Drosophila melanogaster: one gene and its partners. The protein of the gene in region 3 purifies or fractionates together with the protein of the main gene of each other region. This does not show direct contact. Each region holds a gene or a part of one and is shown on either strand. Other genes may lie near its edges.

What was found.
Region 1: the proteins of HP1b (region 3) and row purify together in Drosophila melanogaster (affinity purification with western blotting; one study listed by BioGRID). This does not show direct contact.
Region 2: the proteins of HP1b (region 3) and dre4 purify together in Drosophila melanogaster (affinity purification with western blotting; one study listed by BioGRID). This does not show direct contact.
Region 4: the proteins of HP1b (region 3) and Ssrp purify together in Drosophila melanogaster (affinity purification with western blotting; 2 studies listed by BioGRID, with this or other methods). This does not show direct contact.

What each region holds. Positions count from the first base shown.
Region 1 is NT_033778.4:15,207,012-15,216,570, forward strand, and holds the start of row (relative of woc), read right to left. Parts: upstream 6,624-9,559; 5' UTR 6,479-6,623; coding exon 5,596-6,478; intron 5,545-5,595; coding exon 4,715-5,544; intron 4,657-4,714; coding exon 4,566-4,656; coding exon of another isoform or gene 4,561-4,565; exon of another isoform or gene 4,234-4,560; intron 4,058-4,233; coding exon 3,234-4,057; intron 3,169-3,233; coding exon 2,801-3,168; intron 2,776-2,800; coding exon of another isoform or gene 982-2,775; intron 789-981; coding exon 1-788. Other genes in the region: Ir51b (ionotropic receptor 51b), read left to right, coding at 982-2,775; CG8093 (uncharacterized protein), read right to left, coding at 7,321-8,424, 8,497-8,589; CG11808 (uncharacterized protein), read left to right, coding at 9,289-9,559.
Region 2 is NT_037436.4:1,869,876-1,878,582, reverse strand, and holds dre4 (dre4), read left to right. Parts: upstream 1-2,270; 5' UTR 2,271-2,404; coding exon 2,405-2,473; intron 2,474-2,667; coding exon 2,668-2,931; intron 2,932-2,996; coding exon 2,997-3,296; intron 3,297-3,364; coding exon 3,365-4,542; intron 4,543-4,599; coding exon 4,600-5,466; intron 5,467-5,520; coding exon 5,521-5,783; intron 5,784-5,847; coding exon 5,848-6,001; intron 6,002-6,112; coding exon 6,113-6,229; intron 6,230-6,665; coding exon 6,666-6,822; 3' UTR 6,823-7,009; downstream 7,010-8,707. Other genes in the region: CG13937 (uncharacterized protein), read left to right, coding at 24-227, 544-691, 756-822, 921-1,065, 1,137-1,292, 1,398-1,735, 1,802-1,895; CG13924 (uncharacterized protein), read right to left, coding at 7,019-8,436, 8,498-8,564. UniProt on the Drosophila melanogaster protein: Component of the FACT complex, a general chromatin factor that acts to reorganize nucleosomes. The FACT complex is involved in multiple processes that require DNA as a template such as mRNA elongation, DNA replication and DNA repair.
Region 3 is NC_004354.4:9,078,265-9,083,868, reverse strand, and holds HP1b (heterochromatin protein 1b), read right to left. Parts: upstream 2,616-5,604; 5' UTR 2,511-2,615; coding exon 1,788-2,510; 3' UTR 1,123-1,787; downstream 1-1,122. Other genes in the region: APC4 (anaphase promoting complex subunit 4), read right to left, coding at 1-327, 386-628, 704-815; CG7246 (uncharacterized protein), read left to right, coding at 2,922-3,013, 3,071-3,374, 3,439-4,623, 4,695-4,922; CG44325 (uncharacterized protein), read left to right, coding at 5,491-5,532.
Region 4 is NT_033778.4:23,804,193-23,810,733, forward strand, and holds Ssrp (structure specific recognition protein), read right to left. Parts: upstream 4,813-6,541; 5' UTR 4,672-4,812; coding exon 4,618-4,671; intron 4,541-4,617; coding exon 2,969-4,540; intron 2,909-2,968; coding exon 2,363-2,908; 3' UTR 2,169-2,362; downstream 1-2,168. Other genes in the region: CG13561 (uncharacterized protein), read right to left, coding at 123-278, 340-504, 1,788-1,943, 2,004-2,057; CG5539 (uncharacterized protein), read left to right, coding at 747-1,637; CG5543 (uncharacterized protein), read left to right, coding at 5,167-6,541. UniProt on the Drosophila melanogaster protein: Component of the FACT complex, a general chromatin factor that acts to reorganize nucleosomes. The FACT complex is involved in multiple processes that require DNA as a template such as mRNA elongation, DNA replication and DNA repair.

The DNA of each region.
Region 1 (9,559 bases), on a different chromosome or scaffold from region 3:
CGAACATGGGCGTGTGCACCTCGCCCAGGAACTGGGGCGTGGGTGGAGCATTTGGCTCAGAGAGCTCTCCAATCAGTGGCATGTCGATATCCGTGGCTAAAGAGCTTTGGCCGTAGTTGCTTAGTCCGTAGGGCTGTTGCTGTTGGTGCTGTTGCACCACCGAAACTTGAGCATAATCCGGGGTGGGTTGTACCTGCTGCTGGGTATCCAGCAAAACTGGGGCCGCCTCCATTTCTCCAAATTGTATTGGACCGGTCTGCTGCACCGGCATGCTCTGATGTACTGGCATATTCTGCACGGGCTCATGCTCAACTGGCGCCGACAAGTATTCCTGTTGAAGTTCCGCTTGCGGTTCATTCGGCTGTCCCTGCATCTGTTGCTGATGTCCCACCTGTTGATGGTGTTGCTGCAAATGATGGTCCTCCTGCGGCGGCAACATGTCGGAGCTCTGATCCGCGACATCATCAGCAGTCTCGCTAATATCTGCACCTTCACCAGAGGTTTCTCCATCGCGTCGAACCAGGCCCAACATGTCCAGCATATTACGCTTGACGGCATTCTCACTGGCAGCCTCCAAACTTGGGTAGCAGGTGCTAAGTCCACAATTTGCCAAGTGCTGAGCCATCTTGTTGCCGTTGCCGGTGGCAAAGCCGCAGATGCAGTGCATCTCCTGTGGCATATTCACTTCCATGGCGTCCACAAAGTTTCCATTACATTCCACGCCATGACGGAATTGCGCTCGCTCGCAACATGTCTGATAATTGCACTTAACGCAGTGTAGCCAACCACTGGGAAAAGATTTAATATAAAAAAGTGATTAAATGAGTGCGTAGAGCGCCAAAACCTTTTATTACAAATTATTGCCTCACACATTCTAATGAGTTTTCCCCAAGAGATCAATCAGCCACTATTAAATCAATTAGCTGCTGACTTATAAACCTCAACCCGCGGTTCTGGCTTGTCACAATTGAATCAACCACCATGTGCAAAGTGTTAACCTTATTGGTCGTTATTTTATTACTGGCGCTAACAAACGCTGCTTACAATGTGACATTGTTGAAATCCGTTCTAAGTCTCATCTCTACACGGGAGCCGTGGATAAATACACCAATATTCGTCGGACATAATACGCAAGGAGGCGACCTCAACGACTTGATTATTTGGCTCCATCAAACAATGGGAGTTACTAGCTTGACAATGAATTTATTTCTCCAACCTGAACATATAAGACCCCTTGGTCATTTTAAAATCACTAGATACAATGGCATAGCTTTGTTCTTTTGTCATGATAAACATGATATCATGTGGCTTACTCTGGATAGAAATCTACGAAAACTCCGTCGCATTCGATTGATCATCATTCTGCGTAATCAAAGAAGTGGCTCGCAAGGTGCTATTAAATCAATATTCAACGCCTTATGGCAATATCAATTCCTCAACGTTCTTGTCCTGCAAAGGGATCAGCTTTATTCCTACACTCCGTATCCGGCGATGCGTTTTTTCAAACTCGATATTCATACGGAACCGCTATTTCCACATGCAGCAAGGAATTTCCATGGATATGTAGTATCCACTCCGGCGGAAAATGATATTCCGAGAGTGTTTCATGTGCACGATCCATTAACGAAGAGCAGAAAGGTGCTGGGATACGCATATCGCACATTCGTGGAATATTTGGATCACTATAATGCCTCGCTGCGTTTGACCAATCCAGATGAGAATCTAGACCCAACAACTAGTGTGAATATGAACCACATTGTGCAGTTGATTATAGACGGTCAATTGGAAATCTCTTTGCACCCGTACGTTTTCACACCCCCAACAGCAACCAAGAGTTACCCCTTACTAATATATCCAAACTGCTTGATTGTGCCCATGAGAAATGAGATTCCAAGGCACATGTACCTATTGCGACCATTCCAATTGTACAGCTGGTATATTCTGTTATTCGCAGTTTTCTACATCACTGGAATTCTCTATTGCATAAGCCCGAAACTCAATAAAAGTTCTTGGCCGCAACGCTTGGGATTGAATTTTCTAGATGCGATAAGCAAGATACTTTTTATCAGCCCCCCTATAACAATTTACAGACCAACATGGCGCCATTTGATTATTTTCCTACAACTTTCAGTCCTGGGATTCATGTCCACAAGTTGGTACAACATTGAGTTGGACAGCTTCTTCACAACCATAGTAGTGGGCGAGCAAGTAAATAGCATGGATCAGCTTGTCCACCAGCAGCAAAGGGTGCTCGTCAAGGAGTATGAAATTAACACATTTCTGCGCCATGTTGAACCTCGATTAGTGGAAAAAGTATCTCGGCTTTTGGTGCCTGTAAATGCCAGTGAACAGGTGTCCGCTTTGCTGAGTTTTAATCGCAGCTTCGCGTACCCTTTTACAGAAGAACGTTGGCAGTTTTTTGCCATGCAACAGCAATATGCCTTTAAGCCGATTTTTCGCTTTTCATCTGCTTGCTTGGGATCTCCACATATTGGCTATCCAATGCGCGTTGACAGCCACTTGGAGACATCCCTTAACCATTTCATATTGAAGATTCAGGATACTGGACTGCTGAATCACTGGGTAGTTTCCGACTTTAACGATGCCATGCGTGCTGGATACGTTAGGTTTGTAGATAACGTCCTGGGCTATCAAAGTATCGATGTGGATACTTTGAGACTGGGCTGGTGTGTCTTGGGAATTGGTTGGATACTGTCAGCTCTGGTTTTCTCTTGTGAATACTGGCACCTTTATCCATGGCGATTTATTGCTTAGGTAAATAAAATATTTTTGAACTTACGTGTAATGTGTCTCCTCGCTGGCGAAATCGGTGTTGCACTCGGCACAGGTCTTACCCTCCAGAAAAGCAAAGAATACTGGCCGCTTGTAGGTGGAGAACGGCGGCTGCTCGCGGTGATGGGTGCGAATCTTTGGCGGTGGTATCAACATCGAGTTGTTGAGTAAGAGACGCACCGGTCTATTGGTCTTAGTCATGCTCACATGATGCTGCACTGCGTGCTGCTTTAGATCCCCCTTCTCGAGGAAGGATAGCGAGCATTTCTGGCAGCGCAGCGAGGGATCACGCTTGTTGATGTGCTCGTCCAAATGCATGAAGTAATGTTCTATGCGCAGCTGGTTAACGACGCCAAGCTTTGAGAAGTAGAAAATCTAAAAAGAATCAGTTTTTAATAGAGAGAACTTTACAAGATTACTTTACCATGACAGCTACTTACATCCAAGCAATAGGGGCACTGTAAAAAGTTTTGATGCTTGTGGTCGTCATAAAAATGCCTGACCAAATCGCGGTGCGAAGATGATCGATAGCCGCAGGAGTGACACCAATATGGTAGTTCCAGGGTGCTGTGGACCTTCTGCAAATGAGCCGTCAACAGATGCAGGGAATTGTGACGCTGCTGGCATATTAGGCAGTAGTACGAGGGTGAACCCTCCGTTTTTGTCTCAGTTGGATGCATGATCTGGTTGTGTTTGGCCAAAACCGACTCGGTGGGATGCTTCTCCAAGCAAAAAAGGCACTGGAACTGGTGCTGCTTACCCTCTGGCGAAATATGCGATACTAAATGCGTTTGGAGTTTCTCATTGGAATCGAAGGAGTCGCCGTTCAGGCAGATTGGACACTCCACGGTCTTGGCCAGTTCGTTGTGAACCGTACGGGGTGTGCTATATGGAAAGATCTCGTGGTACTCGTCCGTACCATCACTTATTCCATAGTACAGCTCCTCCAAGCCCCTTAGATCATCCTCTTCTTTCTTAATGACCATTGGAATCTTTTCATCTTTTTCTTTCGGTTTTTTACCAAGGCCTTTAGCTATCAGAGATTTAGACAGTGATTTAGATGACGAGGTCGTTGCTCTGTCTCCTTTTGTCTGGTTGGTACTGCCCGGCGGCCGACCTGGACCCTTTTTAATTGGCAATTGAGGTGGTGGGGTGCCTAATGCATTCGGTGGACGGCCGCGCTTGACTCCAGATGATGCTATATCACGATCCTTTTCCTTCTTGGGAATCTTGTTAGAAACAACGTAGTCAGCATCGTTGATAGCTGCAATTGAAGATGTTAACTTAAAAAGATGTAATCTCAACATACAAACTTAAACATTACATATTTGTCCATTTTTGTTGAATCTGGTGGAATGGGTCCAATCAATTTAATTAGTAAATTCTTTCTTGCGTTTTATCACTCCAAATGAAAAAGGAAATCAAATAAAAACAGTTATTAAATTTCTTGCAAGTTTATTTATGGTTTCTCTAATGGGGTTGTTTTAAAATAATTAGACACGAGAAATGTCAGGAAGTAATGCTTAAATTGTACATATGTGAATATATCAATGATACATTTCACCTATATAGATTATATAAATTCACAATTCACATAACACAATAAGTGGACCTGAGCTCAGCTGTTGGGTTCGATTAACCAAAACTAATCAAACAAAACGAAAACATTTCAGTTTGGAGTGAGAAACGCAGGCACTTAACAGATTATCATAACGCACTATTCTATTCACGGCCTAAATAAAAACTTGCTACAAAAGTACGATAGTACTAACGTTTCTTGAGGCGCTTGGGAGCAGCATTGGCAGGTGTCTCCTTGTAGTTGGCCGGCAAAATACTCCAGTCCTTGAACGGATTGGTTGCCACCTAAACGAAAGAGCTATTAAAGGCTAATCGCTAATAAAAATTTTTCGATTCTGCTTACCTGATACAGACGCTGAGTGATTGTCTCATTGGTGGTTACTCTTGTCTGCTCGGCAATGTGTATTATGATATTGTTGAATGCCTGCAAGGCATATGTACCAAAGGACTCTCGCCATACCAACTCGTCGAGGAATTGTTGAATCATCTGGCGAGATAGCAACGATAGGGTGTTCTGGAACATGCGCGGCACAATCCGTCGCAAATATTCCATTACCGCTGAGTTGTTGTGCTTGGCTGTGTTGTCAGTGGCAGCTGCTTGGACAATATTTTTGAATCCCATGCTGAAGAGGGTGATCTTGTCGACAGTCAAGTCTATACAAATGGTGCTGTCCTTGTGCACCCAGCGCGACAGTGGCTCAAGAATGGCCTGGAATCGCTTTTTGTAGTTACGATCACCATCGGTGATTGGCTCTACAGCCCGCAGTCGGATGGACTTCTCCGCATAATCATAGACGCCCAGAACCTCAACTTTCACTTGTCGCTGGGAGCCATCTTGGGATGTGGTTCCTAGGGAAATAACACCCACCTCCACAAACTTGCCGGGACCGCCCAGCTTCTTGCATTTTTGATGCACTGCCAAAGTGCAAATGGCTCTAAGCCAGGTGTAGATTCCTTTGATATAAACACTGTCCACCTTAACCCACTGCACCACATTTTGAATACTGGTCTGGCAAGCCCAGTGGTAAATTAACTTCAACAGGAATGTGGGTGGGTGCTGAGCTCCTTCGAAAATGGAATTGTTGAACACGGAGACGAAGCGGTAGGGGCAACATTCGCTGATCCACACATAGCCACCAGTGTAGGGAAACTTGGTCACATCCGAATAAATTCCTAAATATAAATACATTAATAAACGAATTCAGTTGATCATATATCTCTTACCCAATTTGAGCTCGTTGTTGCGATGGTTTATGCAATGCTGTTGAGCGCGTAGCAATCCCTCCTGGAGCAGCCACTCGCAGAATTTATTGGGCGTAAGCATGAGCACCAGCTTAACCTTCGAGTCCAGCTTGCTGCGGGTGGCAGCCATGTCTTTGATCTTGAGAAAAGGCTTTGCTAGCACCACCAGAGATGGATATGTCTTTCCTTGCATCTTGTTATCCTTGCCATCCTTGCCGTCTTTGCTATCCTTGCTTTCGTCGGTGCTGCCCACCACCAGACCGCCCACCGAATTAACCTCGGCGGGGCGGTAGTTCTTCGGCGGCGATTCGATGTCCGGTTTGGATTCCTTAAATAGTTTTCCACTGCTCTTAGGTACCGGTGAAGAAGATCCTCCACTAGCAGCGGATGCAGCCTTCTTACTGGATTTCGGGGTGAACGAGGAAGATGCATTGGCCACGGCCACTGCTTTTTTGCCTGCAGACAGCGCCAGTCGCTTGGCCAGCGGCATATCGTCGTCTCCCTCATCGGAGGACTCCAGGTAGGCGATGTTGGATGGTTGTCGTGGTGGGCGGCCACGACCCCGCCCTGTGCCACCGCTTTGGGCGGCGGGTGTTGAGGGAGAGTCCGTCGGCTTGGGTGGTTTTTTGGGCAGCGTAGCCTCCTTGAGCTCCTGCAGCACTTTGCCCTTAAAGGAGTAGGCCTGGAACACCTGGCCGTTAAACAGCTCCTTGCCCTCGTTGGCGCTAACCGCGTTCTTTAGTGCACCCTTCACCGCGTTGTGCTCGTTAGTAATCTTCTCGTAGTACGCCAATTGTGCCGGCGACAGCTCCTCCACCCAGAACTCCATGTCCAGGGAGATTTCACTTCTCGTTACGCGCGTCATCTTACAGCTAACTAGTTAACCGACCACTGGCCCAGCGAGGGCGTTGTTTTTAAAAATATTAAGAGCTAAGTAAATTTTTTTTCGCTCGAATTAGCTTTCCTTGCGTGGATGTACCTGCTCGAGTAAATAACATCGATGAAAACATCGATAATATCGGCTTGGGTATTGTCGTGACACACGCACAGTGGTGCACCACACATCGGTTCGTTAAAATATAAACAAATATAAATCAAATTTTTGTATTTAAAAAAAAGTGTTAACGTAAACTGGTCAATTTTATATTCTGCTAATAAGAACAAGAATAAAATTTTTTTACAATTAAGGAATATCATAACAAGAATTGATTTAACGTATAAATAAATGCCATGAATATATTTTCCCACCTAAATATACATTACAGATATTTTTTACTATGATCAGTATGTTGCGGACTATCGACTACCACAAAAAACGCTGAAAGTCTATCGATGATTTTACAAGATGCTTCATCCCTGAAAGTTGGCGCGCAATTCAAACTAAGAGTGCAAAATATTTCTCAACAGTACACAATCAGCAAATAAAATAAAAATATCTAGTACAGCTTATATTTTATTATATTACACTTAATATAATCCATTGTATTTAGCAGGTGCACTTATAAGGCAAAAAATGTTAGCAGGCTAGTTCGTTTTGCGTTGTTCAGTCACCGTGAAGTGTCACCAAATCAATTTGAATTTATGACCACTCGTATATTATCGGTTCATTAGCTACCAAAAGCCCCCGTTGAAGTGGTGACCAATGGAACTTTTTTTATCACAATGTCACAAAAACGTATGTCGCTTTTTTTTATTTCCAGCGCACATTTATGCATTATTTATGTCGTTAATTACCCGATCATAAAGAATTTCTTTAATATTCAGTCCCCACAGAAAGTCGATATGATTCCACTTTTCTTCCGGCATGCGATATGCGCTTTTCAGGGCGCTCGGGTTCATGGTATACCTAAGGCGATCCACGTCAATCAGACTAGCAAAGTAGTCGTTGTCAGAGTAATAGAGATAGGTGGGCACATCGATGCCCTCCACATCGTACTCCGGCGGGGTCTTGCTGCTGTACTCCTTCTTGTTGCGCGTAGATCCGTAGTCGAATTGCCGGAAGTATCCGGAATTGTACTCCTGCAGGTAGTGGAAGATCTGATTTACTGAGCATCCCGCCGGAGTGGTGGCCATAATATCTGGGAGCAGGGTCTCGTTGATATATGGCGAGTTCCAGCCGCCCAGCAGGAATAGGGTGTTGGTGCACATGAACTGTGAAATGGCCTCATCGCTGCAGAGGAGAGCCCCGAACAGGTTCATTAGCTGTGTATTTGGCAAAAATTCGGCGCTGCCGAAGAGCTCGACGAAGGCATTGGGCTGACCAAGCAGTGGTCCACCGACCGTGGCCAAAGGACTCTCCATATGCTCCATCCAGGCCACAGGAGCGAGCAAATGAGCAGATCGAATGCGACTCTTGAAGCGCGGAATCATAGAGTTGAGCACAAAAAAGGATGTGGTTCCTTGAGAGTGACCCACATACGTAAGTTGAGTCACATTTGTCCAGTAAAGGACGTAATCCATCATAGCGGGCAGATCATAGATTCCGATATCGTGCCACTCAAAATTCCAGAAGGGCTGCAGCAGCGGCGACTTGCTGGCGTGTCTTTTGGAGTAGGTGTTGCCTCTGGCATTACCCATCCACACATCGTAGCCCGCTTCGGACAGCAGGTATGCCAGCCCACTGTGAGGTCCAGCAAGAACCCAATCCGAGGAGGAACACAACAGACCGTGCATAAGGAAGACAACAGGGCGTGGCCCATCGTACCCAGTGTTCTTCGAGTACGGTATGCGGTGCATTGTGAGGATGTAACCATCCGAGGTCTGCACCTCGTGCTCCTCGATTTCGTAACCGTGTCCCCTAACAATGGTGACCTGGAAAGTAGAGCAATATAGTGGTTAGTAAGGACTTTTGGGTGCCAAAGAACATGGCATCCTAAAACTTACAGTTGTCACCGAACTGGCGCGCCCCGTATCCGCAGGCAGGGCATTAGCCAAGCCCAGACTTAAAAAAACCGCAATTAGCTGAACCACCAACATTTTGTATTCCACAGGTGCAGGTGCTTTGACCGCTGACTTGGCCGCCCGTGCCTTTTATATGCCCCCCAGGAACTTGATAAGGATTCCTAGATTTGGCTGCCTAATTTATGACTGTTTATTTTTGCCTGCAAAATGGTTTGATTCGCCAAGACTGATAGATCGTGTGGGAATTTCGATCCCAGTTGATTTAACGAATGGCTAGTGGTCATCAGCGATAAGGTCTCCTATAATCTTGATAACTGCTGATTAGGTATAATTGCTAAGAGTTAATCAGCAATTAGTATTTCCTGCTTTGGGCGTACGGCAAACTGGACATTAAAAGACCCCACATCAGTCTGTAAACTGACATGCTAAGCCGGTAAGGACAAAACTCAATAAATGTAGTATATTAAATGAATATGTTAAAAAGAATTAATTGATTTAATATTACACATAGTTCTAAGTTAAATATTTTAAAGTGATTACTATAATTAAAATTCGCGCCTATTAGTTTAAATTAAAATCGGTCGATAAGTCCAAAAATCGATAGGCGGTAAACATGTTGACACAATCAGTGTGGCCAGCTGGAATATTCGTAAAAATGTTGCGTTTTCTTGACAGGCGATTTTGTATTTTGGGAATGAGCGACGTCCGGCACACAAGAAATATAACATAAATAAAAAACTAAATAAATAATTAACTGCCGATAAAGGACACATTATGAGGGATCGCGACCGCCGTGACAGAGATCGCGACAGAGAGAGGGATAGAGATCGGGACCGAGAAAGAGACAGAGAGCGAGACCGCGACAGACGACACAGATCAAAGTCGCCCAGCAGGAGCAGCCGGCAGGTTTCAAAACCGAAGAAGAAAAAGGCCAAGAAGTCGAAAAAGTACTCGAGAAGGAGTCGCAGTAGCAGTCGCAGCACCTCGCGCAGCTCCTCCAGCAGCAGGAGTAGTTCCCGCAGCACGCACAGCAAAAGCAGAACCA
Region 2 (8,707 bases), on a different chromosome or scaffold from region 3:
CGCAACTGCAACTGATTTTCTAGGCCTTTAATGTGCAGCAGCAATCGCCGCAGCAGCCGCAGCCGCAGCAGCAACAGCAGGAGCAGCAGCAGCAGCCGCAGCAACATGGCCAGTTTCCGTATCCGGTGGTCCGGTATCCGGTGCTGCTGCTGAACAAGAACAAGAACAAGGACCTGACCGTCGTGGCAACGGGCAAGACCAAGAACAAGTGGCGCTATGTTGATAAAGTAAATATGTAACCCGCACAAACACCATACACCATACACCATGTAACAAAAACATACACAAGCACATACGCAACAAAACTGCCACACACACCCAACACCACACACAACAAACACTTCAAGTCACAGGCTCGTATAATTAATGATGTAAACAGAGCGGCTAAATAAAATTCAGATAGCCAAATTGATTGCGCATTAGCGAGTCGCATTGGCAGGCATTTGGGCACCCCACCCCCCATTCTCTAGCCCCATTCCGGTCGAGAAACCCATGTACTGGACTCACTGTGGCTCACCTTTCGCATATTTGCCCTCCAAACAGGACAGCAACCAGACACTCCTGCCCCTCATCCCCGAGCATGCCGTGCAGACACTCACGCCGCAGGAAATGCTCCAGGTGGAGCAGCGGATGGACCAGCGCAGGGAGCGGCTAAAGGACAAGTGCTCCGCCTACGGCCTGGATGTCCTGGGTGGGTCCTTCGCTTTGGATTCGCCAAATGGATTGGGGTCTGATCGCTTGTGTTTTATTTACAGGTCACGACGCGTGGCACACGCCGAACACGTGGGAATTTTTGGTCAACAAAAAGTATCACATTATCTGGTGGGTGTGCCCTTTATTCACTCTTCAACGATTCCATTTTAGTGTGTCATTCGGATTTGACAAATAGGATCTTAACTTACTATTTATTTTCCGTGCAGGTGCAATGTCTTTAAGGCTGCCTCATCGTCCTGGATGTTCAACTTCAACGTCCTGGCCGGTTACTCGCCCAGCTATCTGCGCAAAACCAAGAAGATCCTTCTCAACCTGGCCAGGGAGCGCTATCCCAGGGTGACCCTCGACGAGGTGCGTCTCGAAAGGAGTTCTTAATCCCCTTCCTCAAACCTAAATTAAACTCTTTCTATTTCGGGCGACAGCTGCGTGAGGCACAGAACTACTCGGTGACCTTTATCATCGCACGCGATCCCTTCGAGCGGCTGTTGAGTGCCTATCGGGACAAGATGGTGTTCGCCCTGCCCTACTCCTTCCACGATAAGTTGGGACGCAGCATTGTGCGCAACTACCGCAAGAAGGTAAGCATTTCGACTGTAACCCACTGCGTATACACGATATTGTTGCAATAGCAATATCAAGTATACGCATCGAATGCATCTAATACATTGTATTTTATCCAATAGCCGTCACTGGCTGCCCGTGCGGCCAACACAAAGTTCCCATCGTTTCCGGAATTCGTGCACTGGCTGCTCGACCAGGTGAAGCGCGGCAGCTTCATCGACATGCACTTCGTGGCGGCCACCTCGTTCTGCACACCCTGCCTCATCCGGTTCGACATGATACTGAAGTTCGAATCGCTGGCGGAGGATCAATTATATCTAATCGAAAAGACTGGCCTCAAGCGGGTGATAGCGCCCGTGTGGCGCAACATGGGCAAGGGCCGCAAGACGCACGAGCTCCAGCAGCAGTTCTATGCGCAGCTGACACGCCAGGAAATGCTGGAGCTCTACGAGTATTACAAGTGGGTCATCCATTTAAATTTTTAGATTATGGTAGCATACTTACAAGTTAAAATTCCTCCCCACAGATACGACTTCGAGCTGTTCGACTACGATATCCAGGAGTATCTGCAGGTTGCCCGGCCGGATGAGGCCGAAAGTCCGGCGGGCACAAAGAATTAAACTAGCTCTGAATTCTTAGACTTTGCTAAAAACCAATGAATCAAGTTCAACGAACTCACATATTAGCCGTCACAGTACGTAATTGCAAATGTTGATAATACTGAAGAAAACAATAATAAAATTAGCTATATTTAAACGAAGCCTGTGCCAAAGTCTTTTATTTAATGTAAAAATGTATTTTTGGCGAGACACATTTTTAATTAAATCCAGTTTTAAACATTTTTTTCAGTGCACCAATTTTTAGCGCGTAAAATGTTCATATATGGTTCGAGTCCCTGCTAGACGTGTCTGTACTGTTGCTTGGTTACACTATTTTTACATTGACAACTGGTATATTACGGTATTTTTGAGAGCGGTCTCACTCACGTCGAGCTGACGCTTATTCTGCTTCTTCTTCATCTGGTCGCCGCGCAATTTTTTTATCCGGCGGAATTTGCAAATGCAATTTCTGGCGTTTAGCGCATTTTAAGCGGAGTTAACGCATACACAGTAACAAATCCGGCGGCAATATGTCGAGCTTTGTGCTGGACAAGGAGGCGTTCGTGCGCCGCGTGAAACGCCTCTACACGGAATGGAGGGTGAGTCTGTCCGCCGGTCGGCGATCTGCGTGTTTTTGGGGCCGCAGGAGCACCGGGGAGCACGTGGAGACTCTGCAGACGGGTCACGATAATGAAAGATTGGGAGATGTGGTGAAATTAATTACCCATAGACCAGGTTGTTTGGGGAAAAGAGGATTACTGCATAATAATATCGGACTCTTTGTCTTTCGCAGGCTCCCAGCATCGGACACGATGACGCGCTCAGGAATCTGGACTGCATCATGAGCATCGTGGGCGTCGAAGAGGATGTCATGTACTCCAAGTCCATGGCCCTGCAGCTCTGGCTGCTGGGCTACGAGCTGACGGACACCATCTCAGTGTTTTGCTCGGATGCCGTGTATTTTCTCACTAGCAAAAAGAAAATAGAATTCCTGAAGCAGACGCAGAACATCACCGAAGAAGGTTTTCCGGAAATCAATCTGCTTGTTAGGGATCGGGTGAGTTTCGATTTCTGCTCCAGGCCAAAAGTTCTCTAATCCTTTCTGATCTTGACTTCGAGAAGACGGACAAGGACCAGGGCAACTTCGAGAAGCTCATCAAAGCCCTGCAAAACTCGAAGAAGGGCAAGCGTTTGGGCGTCTTCGCCAAGGACGCCTATCCCGGGGAGTTCAGCGAAGCATGGAAGAAATCCCTGACGGCGTCCAAGTTCGAGCATGTGGACATTAGCACTATTATCGCCTACCTCATGTGTCCCAAGGATGAGTCGGAGATCAACAACATACGCAAGGCATCGCTAGTGTCAATGGACATTTTCAACAAGTATTTGAAAGATGAGATCATGGACATTATTGATTCGGATAGGGTGAGCACCTGGCGGCTATAATATTATGTGTTTTCCTAATATATTAACCTTTTTAACCTCCTTTTTAGAAAGTCAAACACAACAAGCTCTCAGATGGCTGCGAGGCTGCCATTGGCGAGAAGAAGTACACCAGTGGTCTGGATCCCAGACTCCTCGATATGGCCTACCCACCCATCATCCAATCGGGAGGAGCCTACAGCCTGAAGTTCTCCGCGGTGGCGGACAAAAATCCCTTGCACTTCGGTGTGATTGTGTGCTCCTTGGGCGCCCGCTACAAGTCGTATTGCTCAAATATATCGCGCACCTTTCTGGTGAATCCCACCGAGGCCATGCAGGAGAACTACACATTTCTGGTAAGTGTGCAGGAGGAGATTCTCAAGCTGCTGGTTCCGGGCACAAAGCTGTGCGACGTCTACGAAAAGACCCTGGACTTCGTGAAGAAGGAGAAGCCGAGTATGGTGGACAATCTGCCCAAAAGCTTTGGTTTCGCCATGGGCCTAGAGTTCCGGGAGAACTCCATTGTCATCGGACCCAAATGCCAGGCGCTACTCAAGAAGAATATGGTCTTTAATTTGCACGTGGGCATCTCGAATCTGACCAATCCCGAAGCCACCGACAAAGAGGGCAAGAACTACGCCCTCTTCATCGGAGACACTGTGCTAGTAGGCGAACAATCCCCAGCCAGTGTGATGACTCCGTCCAAGAAGAAGATCAAGAACGTCGGCATCTTTATCAAGGACGACAGCGACGAGGAAGATGTGGACGACAAGAAGACCGCTAAAGAAGATCAGGGCACCGAGATCCTGGGCCGCAGCAAGCGCAACGCGGTGCTGGAGTCAAAGCTGCGAAACGAGATCAACACGGAGGAGAAGCGCAAGGAGCACCAGCGCGAGCTGGCTCAGCAGCTGAACGAGCGCGCCAAGGATCGGCTGGCCAGGCAGGGAAACTCGAAGGAGGTCGAGAAAGTGCGCAAGAACACCGTCTCCTACAAGTCCATCAGCCAAATGCCGCGCGAGCCGGAAGTCAAGGAGCTCAAGCTTTACGTGGATAAGAAGTACGAGACCGTCATCATGCCAGTGTTCGGCATCCAGGTGCCGTTCCATATATCCACCATCAAGAACATCTCGCAGTCGGTGGAGGGCGAGTACACGTACTTGCGTATCAACTTCTTTCATCCCGGCGCCACAATGGGTCGCAACGAAGGCGGACTCTATCCTCAGCCAGAGGCCACATTTGTCAAGGAAGTGTAAGTATAGTGCGAAATCTGCTTAAGGAATGCACTAACTAGACACTTTTCCTGCAGTACATACCGCAGCTCTAATGTTAAGGAACACGGGGAGGTGGGAGCTCCATCCGCAAATCTAAACAATGCTTTCCGGCTGATCAAGGAGGTGCAGAAGCGCTTCAAGACCCGCGAGGCTGAGGAGCGCGAAAAGGAGGATCTTGTGAAGCAAGACACACTCATTCTGTCCCAGAACAAGGGTAATCCCAAGCTGAAGGACCTATACATTCGGCCCAACATCGTGACCAAGCGCATGACGGGCAGCCTGGAAGCGCACAGCAATGGATTCCGCTACATCTCCGTGCGCGGCGACAAGGTGGACATCTTGTACAACAACATCAAAAGCGCGTTTTTCCAGCCCTGCGATGGCGAGATGATCATTCTTCTGCATTTCCACCTGAAGTACGCCATTATGTTTGGCAAAAAGAAGCACGTGGATGTACAGTTCTACACGGAAGTGGGAGAGATCACCACGGATCTGGGCAAGCACCAGCACATGCACGACCGCGACGACTTGGCTGCTGAGCAGGCAGAACGTGAGCTGCGGCACAAGCTCAAGACTGCCTTCAAGAGCTTCTGCGAGAAGGTGGAAACCATGACCAAGTCGGTAGTGGAGTTCGACACGCCGTTCCGTGAGTTGGGATTCCCTGGAGCACCCTTCCGCAGCACGGTGACGCTGCAACCCACCTCGGGCTCCCTGGTCAATCTGACGGAATGGCCACCATTTGTCATCACGCTGGACGATGTGGAGTTGGTGCACTTCGAGCGCGTTCAGTTCCACTTGCGCAACTTCGATATGATATTTGTGTTCAAGGAGTACAATAAGAAGGTTGCCATGGTGAACGCCATTCCTATGAACATGCTGGATCACGTGAAGGAGTGGCTCAAGTAAGTTCATCTGCCCATTTGCAAAATGCACTTTTACTAATGAGTATCCTGTAGCTCCTGCGACATCCGCTATTCGGAGGGTGTTCAATCCCTGAACTGGCAAAAGATCATGAAGACCATCACCGACGATCCTGAGGGATTCTTTGAACAAGGCGGCTGGACATTCTTGGACCCGGAATCGGGCAGCGAAGGCGAAAACGAAACCGCCGAATCCGAAGAGGACGAGGCCTACAATCCCACCGACGCCGAATCGGATGAGGAGTCGGACGAAGATTCCGAGTACTCAGAGGCATCAGAAGACAGCGAGGAAAGCGATGGTATGCACAAACCCAAAACATTCCATATCTTCTAGTTGGTTAATATTTTCATCATAATTTACAGAGGACCTTGGCTCTGATGAGGAATCTGGCAAGGATTGGTCCGATCTGGAGCGCGAGGCTGCTGAGGAAGACCGCAACCACGATTATGCCGCAGATGACAAACCACGCAACGGCAAATTCGATTCGAAGAAGCACGGCAAGAGTTCAAAGCACAGGTATGAGCCACGATCCCATCATGGACGGGTTTCCATTAAGGGTTACCTTATCCGAGATCTCCTTTCTCTTATCTATATCAATCGTTCTACAACATTTTACGTCCACCACAGTCGCCGCGACCGCGAGGAGGCTCGATCGTCGTCGCACAGTAAAAAGCACAAGTCGAACTCCTCCTCGTCCTCTTCGCATTTAAAGTCCTCCAGCTCCAAACATGGCAGCTCATCTAGGTTTGTTATCGAAAGCCCCGAACACTTAATACCCAACCATACGGCCTAACGCAAGTGCATTTCACATATCATTTTTCACTCACAAACCATTACACACTGGAAGTTTCGTTATAAATTTGATTTTCTTCTTTGGTGGAACAAAAAACCAAGCAATTGGACGTTTTTAAGAGTTATTTTTTGTTGATATTATTTATTTCTGGTGTTGGCTTGGCAAGTTTTGGATAGGGATACCCCAAATTCCATCCGTTTACAACCACTTTCTGTTTGGGTTTATGTTGAATTATTTATGATTGTTCAGTCTGGCAAAATTGATAAAAAGAAAGAAAAAAAAAGAACAGCATCATAACTCGCTTGCTCAAAATTGATAACCACAGAGGAGTAATTATTTGTGAAATTTCTTTTAACACATTTCCAAATTCCCTTGATTATTTTAAAGCCCGTCGAAGTCGTCGAAGGACAAGTACAACAGCCGGGACAAGCATCATTCCTCCTCATCGTCCGGAAACAAGAGCAGCAGCAAGGACAAGGATCGCAAGCGCTCGCGGGATGACAGTCGCGACAATGGGCACAAGTCGAAGAAGTCGCGACATTAGGGAGCTGTTCCTGTCGCCAAGCCTGTGTGGCACTCCGTTCGTAATCTAGCTCTCCTGTTACCATTGTCTATCTGTTAAAGGACCCGCCACCCCAATCCCCCGTCACTCATTTTTGTCACGCTTCAAAAGTTGTATTACAAATTAAATATAATACGATACATTAATATAATAAACTAATGTAAGAACTACATTACTCCTACTTGTTCCAGCTGCCGAGCAGATGCCGATAGGCGTGCACCTCCACTTCCCCGCTGTCGCGCCGCCGCCTTCGCCGTCCGCCGCGCTGCTCCTGCTCCTGGTGCAGATGCGGATGAGCTTGGGGATGCTGGCGCGGACTTCCGGCGGCGGCCACACTACCCCGCCTTTTGTGCGCATCGAACATGTTGCGGGTCTTGTTGATCGGATAGCGCATCTTGTTCTTCAGCCAGGTGGTGAAGGCGCGCTCGTTGTCCTGCATCTTCTTCAGCTCCTGCTCGTTGCGATTGATGGTCTGCTCCATGGAGAAGCGCTGCTTCCGCCGCAGTTGCTGGTCGCGCCGCTGCAGTTGCTGGGCAGTCAGTCCGTACTCGGACATGTAGCCCGTGTACCTGGGTAGCTTGCCCTGAATCGAATGCCGGTGCTCGCAGCAGATCTTGTAGTTCATCCGCACCGAAGGAGACGTCGTGGAAGCGGAGGCAGAGGATAGAGTGGGCGTGGGCTTGGGCCGACGGCGAAAGCTAAAACTGCGCGAAGTGAAGAAGGTCTTGGAAGTCGCCTTGGGACATGTGGTGCACGAATCCCTGACTTCATCGGGCTCCTCCTTCTTGTAGTAAATGCTCTGCTCGTTGAGCTCAAAATCATCTGGAATATAGCTGGCCACAATGATGGACAGATCATCCTCCTCTTCGGCTTCAACTGCAGCCACCACAGGCGCTGGCGCCGGCAAAGGCACTTCAGTTTCGGCTCCCGTCAACCTGTCAATGGTTTCTTGCTGTTTCGGATCCAAGGTCTTGTAAAGATTCTTGTAGGCATCCCTTAGCTTCTGGCGAGCCTCATTTAAGGTGCGTTCCTCCTCTTCGCAATCAGATTCGGTTAGCAGATTGGTTAGACTCTTCTGGTCGGAGTCATCCTGGTCGAAAGTGCCCTGTCTCAGTTGAAGGGAGCCCGGAACAGAAGAGTCCTTCGCCGGAGGATCGTCATCCAGGTCCGCCTCATCCACGCCGGAGAAGTCGTCTTCATCCTCAATGGGAGTGGCTTCCTGGACCACTGGCTGTTGGGGCACCTCACTCAAGTCCACGATTTCCTCGCATATCTCCTCCTCCACTTCATCATCTACTTGGGGTTCTTCCATCGGAGGAGGCGTTTCTACCACCTTGGTCTCGTCTGCAGCCGCTGGTTCTTCCTCTGCAATGGGCTTCAGCTTCAGCTGCGTCAACTGCTGCAGCAGCTCATCGGGCGGACTGGGACTGAGATCCTTCTGCTGCTCCGTGGGCTCGTAATCCTCCAGATTCAGGGCAAACTTCACCTTCGTCACCTTGCCGTTGCCATTGGAGGCCTCGTCGTCCAGCGCAAAGAGCTCCTTGTTGGCCTCCTTGATCCTGTCCACAATGTTGTACTCGTTGACCGGCTTCAGGACTGCGGAATAATCCATGAGTAAGGACATGCTGCTGCTACCAGCCTACGGGGAACGACTTACAATAGACCTCGCAGTCCTCGTCCGACTCCGGCTCGCGTTCGCCCATCTCTGCCAGCTGCGGGCACATCGATTGCCTTCAAGTGCCGGGATATTTTTAGAACTTTAGCTTTTCGCACTGCGATTTACGACCATTCACCAGCTGGAAACTTCGCCAAAACTTTCCATTTCGTGTCGCGTAGCTTTTCCGCACCCATCCAAGACTAATGAACT
Region 3 (5,604 bases):
GGTTTTGAAAGTGCAGCAATATCAGCTCCTGACCGTCCCGCAAAAGAGCATAAATGGCATTACAGTCTCCGTTCATCCTCACATCGTACACATCGAACTCGTGCGGATGCAGAATGTGCTGTGTGAGATCGATGCTGCCCGCCTGCAGGGCTCCTAGGAGCAGTAGGTGCACTTTGCCGCTGCGCATTATCACCACCAGAAAGCAAGGTGATCCCTTTGGAAAGGACTTTTGGTCCAGGGTTTTCAGGCACGGATCAATATTGGTCATTGGCTGCAGTTTGGGCAGGAACCTTCGGTGTTTATCCTTGACATTACATGTGTAAGTTCCTAGAATCGTTTATAACACAATCAAATCCCTGTAGCTTATTTCGTATCGCTGGTTTACCTAGGTTCTCCTGCGAGTTGATGGCCTTGCTGAAGTAGACCTTCTTGATGTCGTCCTCGTAAATGAGGCCTGATATTATCGTTCCGCTCTCGGCGTCCAGGAGCGCCACCTTGCCGTTGCTGTAGCCAACCGCCAGGAGTGTCTCGTCCATTTGCCAGCTGAGCGAACGCACCCGCACATCCTCGCCGGGCGTGGGAAAGGTGACAATCTTTTGCCAGTTCAGACGCTGGATGACCACCTCACCTATCCACATGATTGGGATAAGCCCACTGGCAGTTTATTTGGTGATTCTTGGCAATTTCGGAGGCAGACGCTCACCCTTTTCCGTTCCGTAGGCAATTAGATCCATCTTGTTGTTCCACTCCATACGCTCCACAATGCAGGACATGTTGCGGGCGCCCAGCAACTTCATGGAGCTCGTTTGTGCCATCTTTCCACGCTAGAATTGGCTCGCGGCGTCTCTACTGTGCATCAAATATTTCAATATAATAATTTTAGTTTACACTTTGCCGGCTCCTGTTGCAGTCTATCGAATAATATTCCTGCTATCGATCAGAGATGAGCGGAAATAGTAGCTATTACAAATTGGTTTCTCCAATTCTTCAGTCATTTTTGACATTTTATTTGATTTTTGTCAAATGTTTAAACAAAATATTTGTATTAAAACTTCGGGACAGCGAGAAAGAATGTGTATTTATGATTGAAACTTCTTAGATATTTGTACTTATGCACGGCATGGCAAATTATCTGCCAGCACAATTTTGTTTTATTCGTACTTTACTTTAGTCTTACAAACCTACATAGTTTTAAAAGCTTTTGTTTGGAACACATAATGATTTGCGAAACAATGAAAAAATCGGGAAAATCTAAATTAATCGATCTTAATAACTGCCTGTTAGGAAAAAATCTCAAATTCTGGCTATAAAGGCGCTAGGTGGGCAGCACAATTGGCGTCTTTTGATTTCCACACAAAAATATTGGCAATTTCAATGTGTTTTTTTTTAACTTAAAGTGTTAGAAAGCTGGATAGTTGTTAAGATAGAAAGGTGGTCCTTCAGTCTGAGTCGTTCCTCATTGATCAGGTTAAGCGTAGTTTAGGCCAATTGTATTTAACACTGTGATGTTATATGCTTATAAAACATTTATGTGGGTCAAAAATAAAGGTAGATGTTAAAAACAATTTTACAATTGAACTTATAGATTAAGTATGTATATATATGTATATGTATATATGTATATGTATATACTACCGCTGACTGACGCCAGAACTTCAGTTTGTCCAATTTTTTTATCTTAAGGGCTACGCTACGAAATATGTATGTACATATATCGTATAAAGCCGGTGTGTATGTATCCACATAAGCGAGTGAATCCGAAACAGTCATCTGTATCTGCCACTCAACTAGTCATCCGCATCCGGCTGTCCGTTGTCCAGCTCACTACTCTCGTCCGGCTTGATATTCTCGTCTTGATTGATGCTGCCAATGGGGCTGGCCGGTTCGGGATCCTCCTCGTCACCGCCATCTATATTGCTGCCGCCACCGGTGGTGCCAACGCTGCCGGGAGCAGTATCATCGCCGGCCCCACTGCCGCCGACGGAGCCCAGGCCACCGGATGATCCCAAATTGACGGAATTCGTATTCCCATTACCATTGCCGCTGCCCGTGTGCCAGGTGAGGCGCTCCTCATAGAACTGTATGACCACCTGGGGGCATCGAGTGTTGGCCAGCTTGGCGGGCACAAGGTCGGCGTGATCGCTGCCCTTCCACTTCATGAGGAACATTAGGTGCCCGGATGAGTCGGTGGCGCCCAGTATTTTTGATGCCTCCAGACCGCGCTCAAAGCCGATCAGCTTCTTCTGCTCCTCGGTATCGTCCTCCAGGAAGCTCTTGCGCTTGCTGCGTATGGATTCGGGTGTGGAGGAGGTGGACAGGCGTTTCTTTGTCTCCTTCTTGTTGTTCTTCAGCGACTCCTCGAAGTTGGCTATCAGGTCTGGACAGTCGAGATTCTCCACCGGCTCCCAGGTGTTTTCGCTGCGCGGATAGCCCTTCCACTTTAGATAGTATTCCGTTCGTCCGTTCACCGTTCGCTTGTCCTCGACGCGTTCCACTGAGAATTCGGCCATTGTGCTTTTACGCTAATTGTGTTATTCCAACTGCGAATTTTGTTATTTTCTTGGCGTCCAAAACTTATTTATACGTGCGATTAAAGAGATTGAAGAAGAAGAAGAAATCAAGATGGCAACTCCATGGTCTCGCCATCGGCAACTATCGCTCTCTTGGCCAGTAAACGCATTTTAATTAAAAAGCTGAAACTTTAAAAACTTTACAATTGTAATTTTATCATTATCTCTTGACCATTTTTAAATTTTGACATATATATATATTTTTTTTAAATTACCCTTTCTACCATCCCTGTCAGCGATAACTCTCCAGAAATTGGACAATCGATAAACGGCCGTTGCGTTGCACGTGCGCTAGTTTTTAAAGAAATAAACAATATTACTAAGTACGATTAAGGAGAAAACTAAGCAAATATGGCCGAGTTCATAGCTGAGATGCAGGAGCGCCTGCTGCCGGAATACGAGCAGATGAAGAACTACAGCGTATTCACAGCGGATCAGGTCAGGTGAGAAATCCAAACGAATTTGGAGTCTGTGCCCCCATTTCATCCATATTCTTGCAGAGAAATCGTTAGCAGGCGGGAACGCTTGTTCCTTAAGATCAACAAGAGCCACCAGAGCATCACCGACTACCTGGACTTCATACTGTACGAGAAGCACATGCACATGACCATCGTGGACAAGGAAAAGAAGATGCACGTTAAACTCACCGGTCTAAAGGCCTCCATAGCCACGCGGATCATGCGCCTGTACAGAGAGGCCTTGGCTAAGTTTAACCACGACAGACGGCTGTGGAGCAACTGGATCAAGTTCAGCAGGAAGTCAAATCCTGTCGAGGTGGCGGGCATATACGAGAAGATGCTGCTGGTTAGTATTTGCCAGCCTGCTCACTTCCATTGATTACTTATCCATTGTTGTTATTCTTTTGCAGTACCATGGCGACTCGCCGGATCTTTGGGTGGACGCCGCCTTATGGCTGTACGAGTTCAATCGGCTCAACATCGATCGAGTCAAGGACATCCTGCTGCGTGGCTTGCAGAGACATCCGGATTCCGAGGCACTTAACAAGTGCTTCTTTGACATTATGCTGAAAGAGGCTGCCCTGGCCAGCAACGAACGCAATTTAGCCGAGAATACGCTCTCGGAACAGGACATCAAATTGGAACGCGTGGAGGCGGTCTACCGCAACAGCATGGCCAATATTACCCAATTGGACTACTTTGTTAAGCTTCTAGAAAGCTGTGAGGATCATCAGGAGCTGACGGGCAAGCTGCAGCGAATGATAATCGATGATATGCAAGAGAAGTTCCCCCGGGAGCCGGGCCTGTGGGATTTGCTTGCCCAGCGAGAGTTGCGCGGCTTTCATCTGGGCGACCTGGAGGAGGAGGACTTGGATACCAGTGACGAAGAGCCGGCCAGCAAGAAATCTCGTTCCGTAAATGGCCGCTCTCTCAAGCGACGCATTCAACTCTGCGTTACTGTATACAAATCGGCGGTGGAGGAGCTGCAAACGACAGAAATGTGGAATATGTATTTGGATGCCATGCTGGCACTCAATAGCGATGGAAAGACGGAGCGTATACTAAAGCAACAGTGCCTAGCGGATGCCTTGCAGGCGGGCCATCGCTCTCAGTTGATGGGCGTGAAACACTATGCCACATTAAGAAAGATGCTCTGCACTGCTCCGAGTGGAAGGGAGGCAGCTGTCACCATACTCACGGAAGCCCTGAAAAACGATTCATCGGTGGAGATGCACGAGCTTCTTCTGGCCACGCACATTCAAAGCGACAGTGAGCCCTTGATCTATGAGCTATTCAACAAGATCCAGAAGAGCATGGGCAGTGAGGCGTTGCCGCTGTGGCGCAGTGTCATTCTGTATTATCGCACTCGGCAGGATAGCTTGGGCGCACGCCGGCTGGATGAGATCTACGGTCTCGCCTGCAAGGCTGCGTGGCCGGAATTTGGTGAGCTGCGCTCCGATTATTTGCGCTATCTGTGGCAGGAGCGGTCTGTCGAGGAAGCACGCAAGGAGTACGCCAAGCTGGCCATTCTACCGCCCATGTCGTTGGCGCTGCACCGCCAAATGGTTCAGCTGGAGTCCAGTGCGGCAGCTTGTGTATGTTTTGTTATCTTTGCTACTTTGGCATATAATTGCGAGGCGCAACTAATTTACTTTATCTGTTGCAGGACCAGGCCAGCCTGAAATACTGGCGCATGTGCTACGACTTTATGGCCTGCTATTTCGGCAAGACACAGCCGCGCGTTTGGGTGGAGTATCTCGCCTTCGAGCGAGATCACGGCGAGGCGAAGAACATCTCCCTGCTCACCCAGCGGGCTCTCAGCACCCTAGAGCCTCAATATGTCGCCGCGTTTGAGGCGGAACGGGCACTGGCCTATGTGGGCGCATCGATATAGTTGGCTAAATAGTTTATTTGTGCTTCTGTTTTTTTCATTAACTTAATTTCTAAGTCGATCTTTCGGACTGTCTATAGTGATTCGATTCTAAAATAAGGACTTGTGAATATACAGCTTATAAGATAATTTATGAAATCTGATTTTTACTTTGGCAATATGCAGGTGTGTGAATTCAAAGTACAGTCATATGGAAAAGTTCTCATTTAACCATCCTATTGTTGAAATGTCCTTTTCAAAAGCGGTTAAATTATGAGTAATGCTATACGAGAATATCCTTTAACCTCTTCCGTCGACGGATGTGCTCATAAATCCGAGCTAATTGCGTTTTCCGAAGGTAAACAAAAACATGGGCATTAACTTTGCCTGCCTGACGCCGCTGCCGCCGCCGACAGCGCTGCCGACGTCGACGCCACTGGAGCTTTGAAAGCGAGTGGCGGCAGAGCAGTTGGCCAGTTCACTTGCGTACGCCGTGGCATCAACACGCACCAGCAAAATCAAGCGCATCCAGTCGACCCAATCCAGTTCCATTCCATAAAAGCCAACGAAAGCGAAATCTCAACCGAGCGTCATGGAGTTCAACAATCGCCTCTTGCTGAAGATCATCGAGCTGGTGAGTAATTGTATTTAAACTAGATCCGAAGGAGACACCTTGTTAACAACACAGTATTAGTTAGTTGATCAT
Region 4 (6,541 bases), on a different chromosome or scaffold from region 3:
ATCAAATCGGAGAGCTCTTTTACGGGCAGTTAACAAATTTATGGCAAATTTATTAATTGGTTTATTGCACCGCGTCTGATGTTTATAACAAATACTCGATGCGACTCGTGATTTGTGTGCCTTTAGCGATACTCTGTTAATGTGAAGTACACCTTAACCTGGGCCAACTCCGATCGGTGGAAAGTGAAGGTGGTGAAGAGTCCGTAGTCCCCGAAGGGCAGGGGCATCATGTCCAGAACCTTGACGGGAAACCGAAAGTGCTCCAACACTATTTCCGGCTGTAATCGATAGAAGAACTGAAGTAAACATCATAATCAATCATTTCTTAGGCAAACTCACTGGAATCGGACACTTGTTCACATTGGTTCTGTTCCCGAAACTGCTCAGGATGATGTTAATGAAGGGATGATTCCGCTTCTCCAGATACTCGCACACATCCGACTGGCAGATATTGTAGAGAAAGGGCTTATAGCCACTGGCCTTCTTCAGCAGCTGCATGCGCATCTGAAGGAGAAACATATTGGTATTACACTAAGGTGTTGGTGCTATACGCCAGCAGGCTGTGCTTTACACTTTACACACAACTGGCTGTAGAATATCGCCACACTTTTAAACAAACAGTTAGATACACAGGCACATCGATCTTAAACTGCCAATTTCGATTATAGCCCATGCATTAAATTCGGAATTTTCCAAAAGAAGAACACTTATTCTGGCAGTCCTAGTATCCACCGTATATTTTAGATATGTGTTTCTTTGGCCTTGTTTCGCAGTTCCTGTTCTTCGTTTACGGCACCATGGGACCGGCCTGGCAAACCTATAAGACTCTGAACAGCGGAGACGAGGAGTTCCTGGCCTGGGCCAAATACTGGATAGTTTACGCCTTCCTGGTCACCTTCGAGGTGCTGGCGGACGTCTTCCTCTCCTGGCTGCCGCTCTACATGCCCACCAAGTTGCTCCTGGTCGTGTGGATCGTGCTGTCCGCTCCGGCCGCCAATGTCTGGATATTCGACGCCATCCTGCGTCCGGTGCTGGCAAAGCGGCAGGAGGAGATCGATCACTTCCTGCACCGGGGCAAGGAGAAGCTCCTGATCGACGCCCTCGCTTCGATGACACAGCTGGTGGCACAGACCCAAATCTCTGTACTGCCTTTCGTGTCCAGCTTCTGGTCGAGATCGAGCACTGCTCCCCTTAGGACTTCCGATCTGTTGCAGGACTCCACTGGAGAAGGAATTGGAGGCAGAACTTCCGAGGATACTGACTCGGCCAACGTCTCTGTCCAAAATCTGTCCAGTGGTTCCAGTCCCGTTGGCAGCTTAGAGCACCTCCGTGACGACTCTGAGGAGCTTCTGGTGGGCGTTTCGAAGGCCACCACGCACCTGCAGGCGGAGCAGTTCCAGAGCGACGTGTCGTCGGAATCACCCAGGATAATTAATCGCCGACCTCAGCGCAAGTTCAAGAATGCCATTGCTATTGCCTCCGCCACCAAGCTGGAGGACCTCCATGACGATGTGGAGGATCTGCTGGCCAAGACGGCGATGGAGACCAGCGGCCAGGAAGTGCGTCAGCAGCGTCAACCGGCCAGCCGTCGCCGTCTTTTAGCACAATCATTTGTGAAACCTCAAACAGGTTTATAGTTATTTCATTAATTCAAAACATAAATTGGTTTTAGGCATGGATAGGTTTCAAGTTGTTTAATTACTAGTGTTTTGGACTCGCATTTTCTACTATAGATAGCTATTCAACTATGGCATTCAGGAACGCCCTAGCTTTGCAAACTAACTCACCGATACCGGACCTTTTGGCCATCGCAGGATGTTGGCCCGCAGACTCATTTCGACGACATCCCTCTTTACGGCGTACAATCGGCACAGGGAAACGGTGGTGAAGTTTTCGTCCGCACTCAGGCACTCGATGTTTGTGAACTTGGCAACTCCTTGGACCTGAAGTGAGCTAGTGTTCGGTTCATAATCCCAGCCGGCCTAGCTTACGGTCGAACTTGCCTGCAAAATGTGCCACAGCCCAAACAAGAGGAATAACTCTGTCAACGTGGCCATCACTAAGTTCACCAAAGAGCCATTAAAAACTGGCAAACTGTGGCATTATAATGTTGACGAAAGTGGCAAAAGCCAGTCAAGCGAAACCATAATCGATAGATATCAATCATTACGGGCAATTATCAATTCTGTTTAATTACTTGAACTTTCGAATTGTTGTTGAGTTTTAATTAAACAAAAACGTATGGGTCTGTATCCAACAGGCAGCACTTAACTAAACTAGGCGAATGTAAACTAGATTTGGGACATGGGTGTGTGAGGAGCGTGGTGTGTGTTTATGGAATTGATTTGTTGTGTTTATGGCCCTAATCACTGGCCTCATCTTCCTCATCCTCATCGCTGGCATTGCTGTCCTCCTCGCTCTCCTCCGGTTCGCTCTCGCTCTTGGCCTTTTTCTTCTTGGCATCGCCGTCGGATGGGGGCTTGCTCTTCTTCTTGGCAGGCTCGTTGTCCTTCTCGTCGTCGGAGCTGGTGGAGTCGTCGTCCGAAATGTACTCCTTGCTCTTGAAGCCGCTGCCCGAGGTATTCGCCTTCTTGGATGGAGAAGGCTCCGTCTTGCGCTTCTTGGAGGACTTTCCACCCTTCTCGTTGTCGCTGTCACCGCCCGCTTCAGGCTTGTAGTTGCGCATCTCGTCGTGGTAGCGCTGCTTGTCCTTGGCCGCCGCATCCTCCCACTTGGACTTGTCCTTCAGCTCCTTCCACATCTCGCCGCCCTTCTTGGCGATCTCGGTAACCTTTATGCCCGGATTTTCCCTCTTGATGCTCTCGCGCGTGTCGTTCAGCCAGAGCATGAAAGCGGTGGTGGCGCGCTTGGGTTTGCCAGAGTCCTTCTTCTTCTTGGAGGGTTTCTTCTATAAAAACATATAAAAACATGTTACCATAAGCTATAATAATAAGCAAACATTACTCACTGTTCTCTCCTTCTCCTTGTGTTTTTTCTCCTTTTTCTCTTTCTTCTCGGACTTCTTCTCCTTCTTTTTCTTGGCGCCGTCGCTGTCGCCTCCGCCGCCACTAGCATCGCTGTCATCGTCCGAATCACTCTCCACGTTGCTGTCATACTCCTCGGCCACATCGGACTCGTTCTCGTTGGGCTTGAAGTCCTCATCCGTGGACTCTTCATCCGAGTCGCCATCGTCGTCGTCCTCCTCCTTTTCCCTCGCCTCAGCCTTGAGGCGAGCCAGATAGGCATCTGGTTCGTTCTCGTTGTCCGAATCACCAAAGTCCACGTCCTTGTAGCCGCTCTTGTCCTTGCCCATGTTGCTGACATGCAACTTCTTCTGTGTGATGTAGTCGAAGAGCTTGGCATACTCCTCCTTCTCGATGGAGGAGAAGATGTGAACAGTTCCGTTCTTGAGCGTCACTTCGAAGTCGAAAGATCGCGTGGATCCGCCGCTGCGGGCAAAGTTCACAGAACTAATCTCCTCAAAGCGGATATGCAGCGGTGGCTTGTGGATATAGATGAATCCTCGCTCCAGGGGATACAGATATCCAGCTGCAGCCTTGAACGAGCAGCCCACTGCAGCCGTGCCAGAGTGTCCGATAAAGTTACCGGGTCCGGTAATTTTTCGACCGATCAGCACCTTCATCACTTTGCCCATCACCTCGTACACCGGCCCGGAGATCTCTTTCTCCAGCTTGCCCTCGTACTTGTCTCGCAACTCGGCTTCCGAGAATGGCAGCTCAATGGTGGTCTCCTCATCGGGAGCAAACAGCAGGACCAGGTAGTGGTAACGCGTTTGTCCCTGCTTGATGGGCGGATCCAAGGAGAGCACAAAGAACATCTGTCGACTGTCTTTGTGGGGCAGCATGAAGAGCCGCAGCACCGAGTCCATGGGAATCTTGTAGTCGAACGTCTTGCCGTGCAGCTGGAAGAAGGTCGAGAAGATCTTGATGTCATAGCGACCGCGAGGCGTGAGGATCTGGATCTCTCTGAAAATGGCGATGGACTCGCCCGAAGCCGAGATGACCGAGGCCTTGCTCATTACGTTCTGGTGGAACTTGTCTACCGGATCCTCCTCGGCCGACTCCACGGCGGGTATGTGGAACCGCATCTCCAGTAGACCCACGGGCGCATCGTCGTTTTGGTGGAACTCCAGGGTGACCTCGTTCTTGCCGGTCACGCACTGCGAAACGTGCGACAGCGGCACCTCGAAGATGGTCTTCGACTCCTTGTCGAAGCTCAGGACGGAGCCCATGAAGCGGGCGGTGCCCCAGTTCCAGCCCTTGACGCACATCTCCTTCTCGACCATCTCCTGCGAGTAGGCAGCCTTGATAAACTTGCCCAGCTTCTCGTGCTCGCTGTCGCGGAATCCGGTGAAGCGGTGGAGCACGCCGCCTTTGGTGAACACCCTCAGTCCCCAGGTGCCCACGAACTTCTGCGAATTGATCAGGTCTATGTCCTCTGCCGAGATCTGCTCCACCTTGCCGGTCTTGGTGTTCTTGAAGATGATGTTCTGCTCGGTCATCTTTAGGCGTCCGGAACACTTTTTTGCGCGCAGGGAAATGGAAAACCTCGGTCATGCGAAATGTGACAAAATACGCCGGCTTTTTTGCGACTCACCAAGACTCCGCGCACTTCGGCGTTTATGTCGTTGTACTCCAGAGAGTCTGTCATCCTGCACTTCTTCCTCTCCAGTAACAAGATAATAGATCAACTATGTATTACGCCGCCTTGCGAAATTGTCACCAATTTACAATAATTCCGGCAGACACAAAACAACACTGCGCGCCTAATTTTAGGTTAGACGCCAGTCAGCTATATTAGAGTGACCGTATGTGTGTTTAGTATTTTTGAGTGCACTATTCTTAAATTGCAATCGATATAAACTCTTAATATTCCAATGCAGTTTCCTTTATTGTTTATATATATCTTGTTTGCAATACATGAACAATATATGAGTCATTATTAAATTGAAAAATTTTAATGGGCAAGCCAGAGCTTATTTAAAGACCATAACAATTCGCTCGATCTTTTAAAATACCAAATTGACAGTCCGAATATAAACGGTCACTTAATTCACTTGTTTACAAAATATTTACCGCATATTTTCAGAGAAATATAGTTTTAATTAAAAATTTGAAAATCCACTTAGCGTGGGGCCTTAAAACTATGCAACGCGGTAAAATTTCCTTCGGGAAAATCAAACTGAATGTAAACGTACCTCCTGCGGAGCCAAGATCCAACGAAACCGAGGCGGAAGATGCAAAGGAGTCCACTGAAGCCAGCGGAAATGGCGGAGGATTCAAGAAAATGGACAAGGAGCAGATGATTCGGCAGATCGAGGACGTGGCCGAAGATCTGGAGAGCCAGCACCTCAAGGAAGTGATGGGCATCAGTGGCTTTGGTCGCAAGGCGGCCAAGGTGTTCGACATCAACGAGCAGATAGAAAAGGCGAGAGTTACCCGCCCGGGAATGGACAAAAAAAGGGAGGAGTCCAAGCCGAAGGAGGATGACCAGAAAGACGAGGAAGAGGAGGACGTAATAGGTCCCCTACCACCAGCTGTGACCACAGACAAGGAGAAAGCCACGAAGGAATCGTCCAAAGACGAAGACTCCGATGACGATGATTATTCGTCCGATGAAGATTCAGATGACGAACAAAGCCTTGCTAAGCGCATACCCTACACACACGAGGTGCAGATGCAGCACGGTTCCCGCGCTGTCCTTGCCCTGGCTGGCGATCCCTCGGGTGCCCGCTTGGTCTCTGGTTCCATAGACTACGATATGTGCTTCTGGGATTTCGCCGGCATGGACTCGAGCATGCGTAGCTTCCGGCAACTGCAGCCGTGCGAGAACCATCCCATACGTTCTCTCCAGTACTCCGTGACCGGCGACATGATCCTGGTCATCTCCGGAAACGCCCAGGCCAAGGTCCTCGACCGCGATGGATTCGAGAAACTGGAGTGCTGCAAGGGCGACCAGTATATCTCGGACATGTCGCGCACCAAGGGCCACGTGGCACAGTTGACCTCCGGCTGCTGGCATCCATTTAACAGGGAGCAGTTCCTGACCGCAGCTCTCGACGGTACTCTGCGCATCTGGCAGGGATTGAAGTCCAAGGAACAGTTGCAGGTGATCAAGACAAGGGCGCAGGGAGGCCTCCGCACCAACGCAGCATCATGCAACTTTAACAGGGACGCCACACTCATAGCAGCGGGCTGCGTGGATGGTTCCATTCAGACGTGGGACACGCGCAAGATGTTTGTGAACACCACGCACTGCGTCAGGGATGCGCATCAGAAGGGTTCGGAGATCACCTCCATTGTGTTCTCGTACATGGGTCAGCAGTTGGCCACTCGCAGCAACGACGAGACCATGAAGCTTTGGGATCTGCGGCAGTTCAAACAGCCGCTGCATACCTGGACAAACCTGTTCTCCCGCTACGACACAACAGATTGCTGCTTTAGTCCAGATGACCGTCTGCTAGTCACCGGAGAATCGCTTCCGAAGGGCCAGGCCGAAGCGAACCTGTATTTCTACAGCA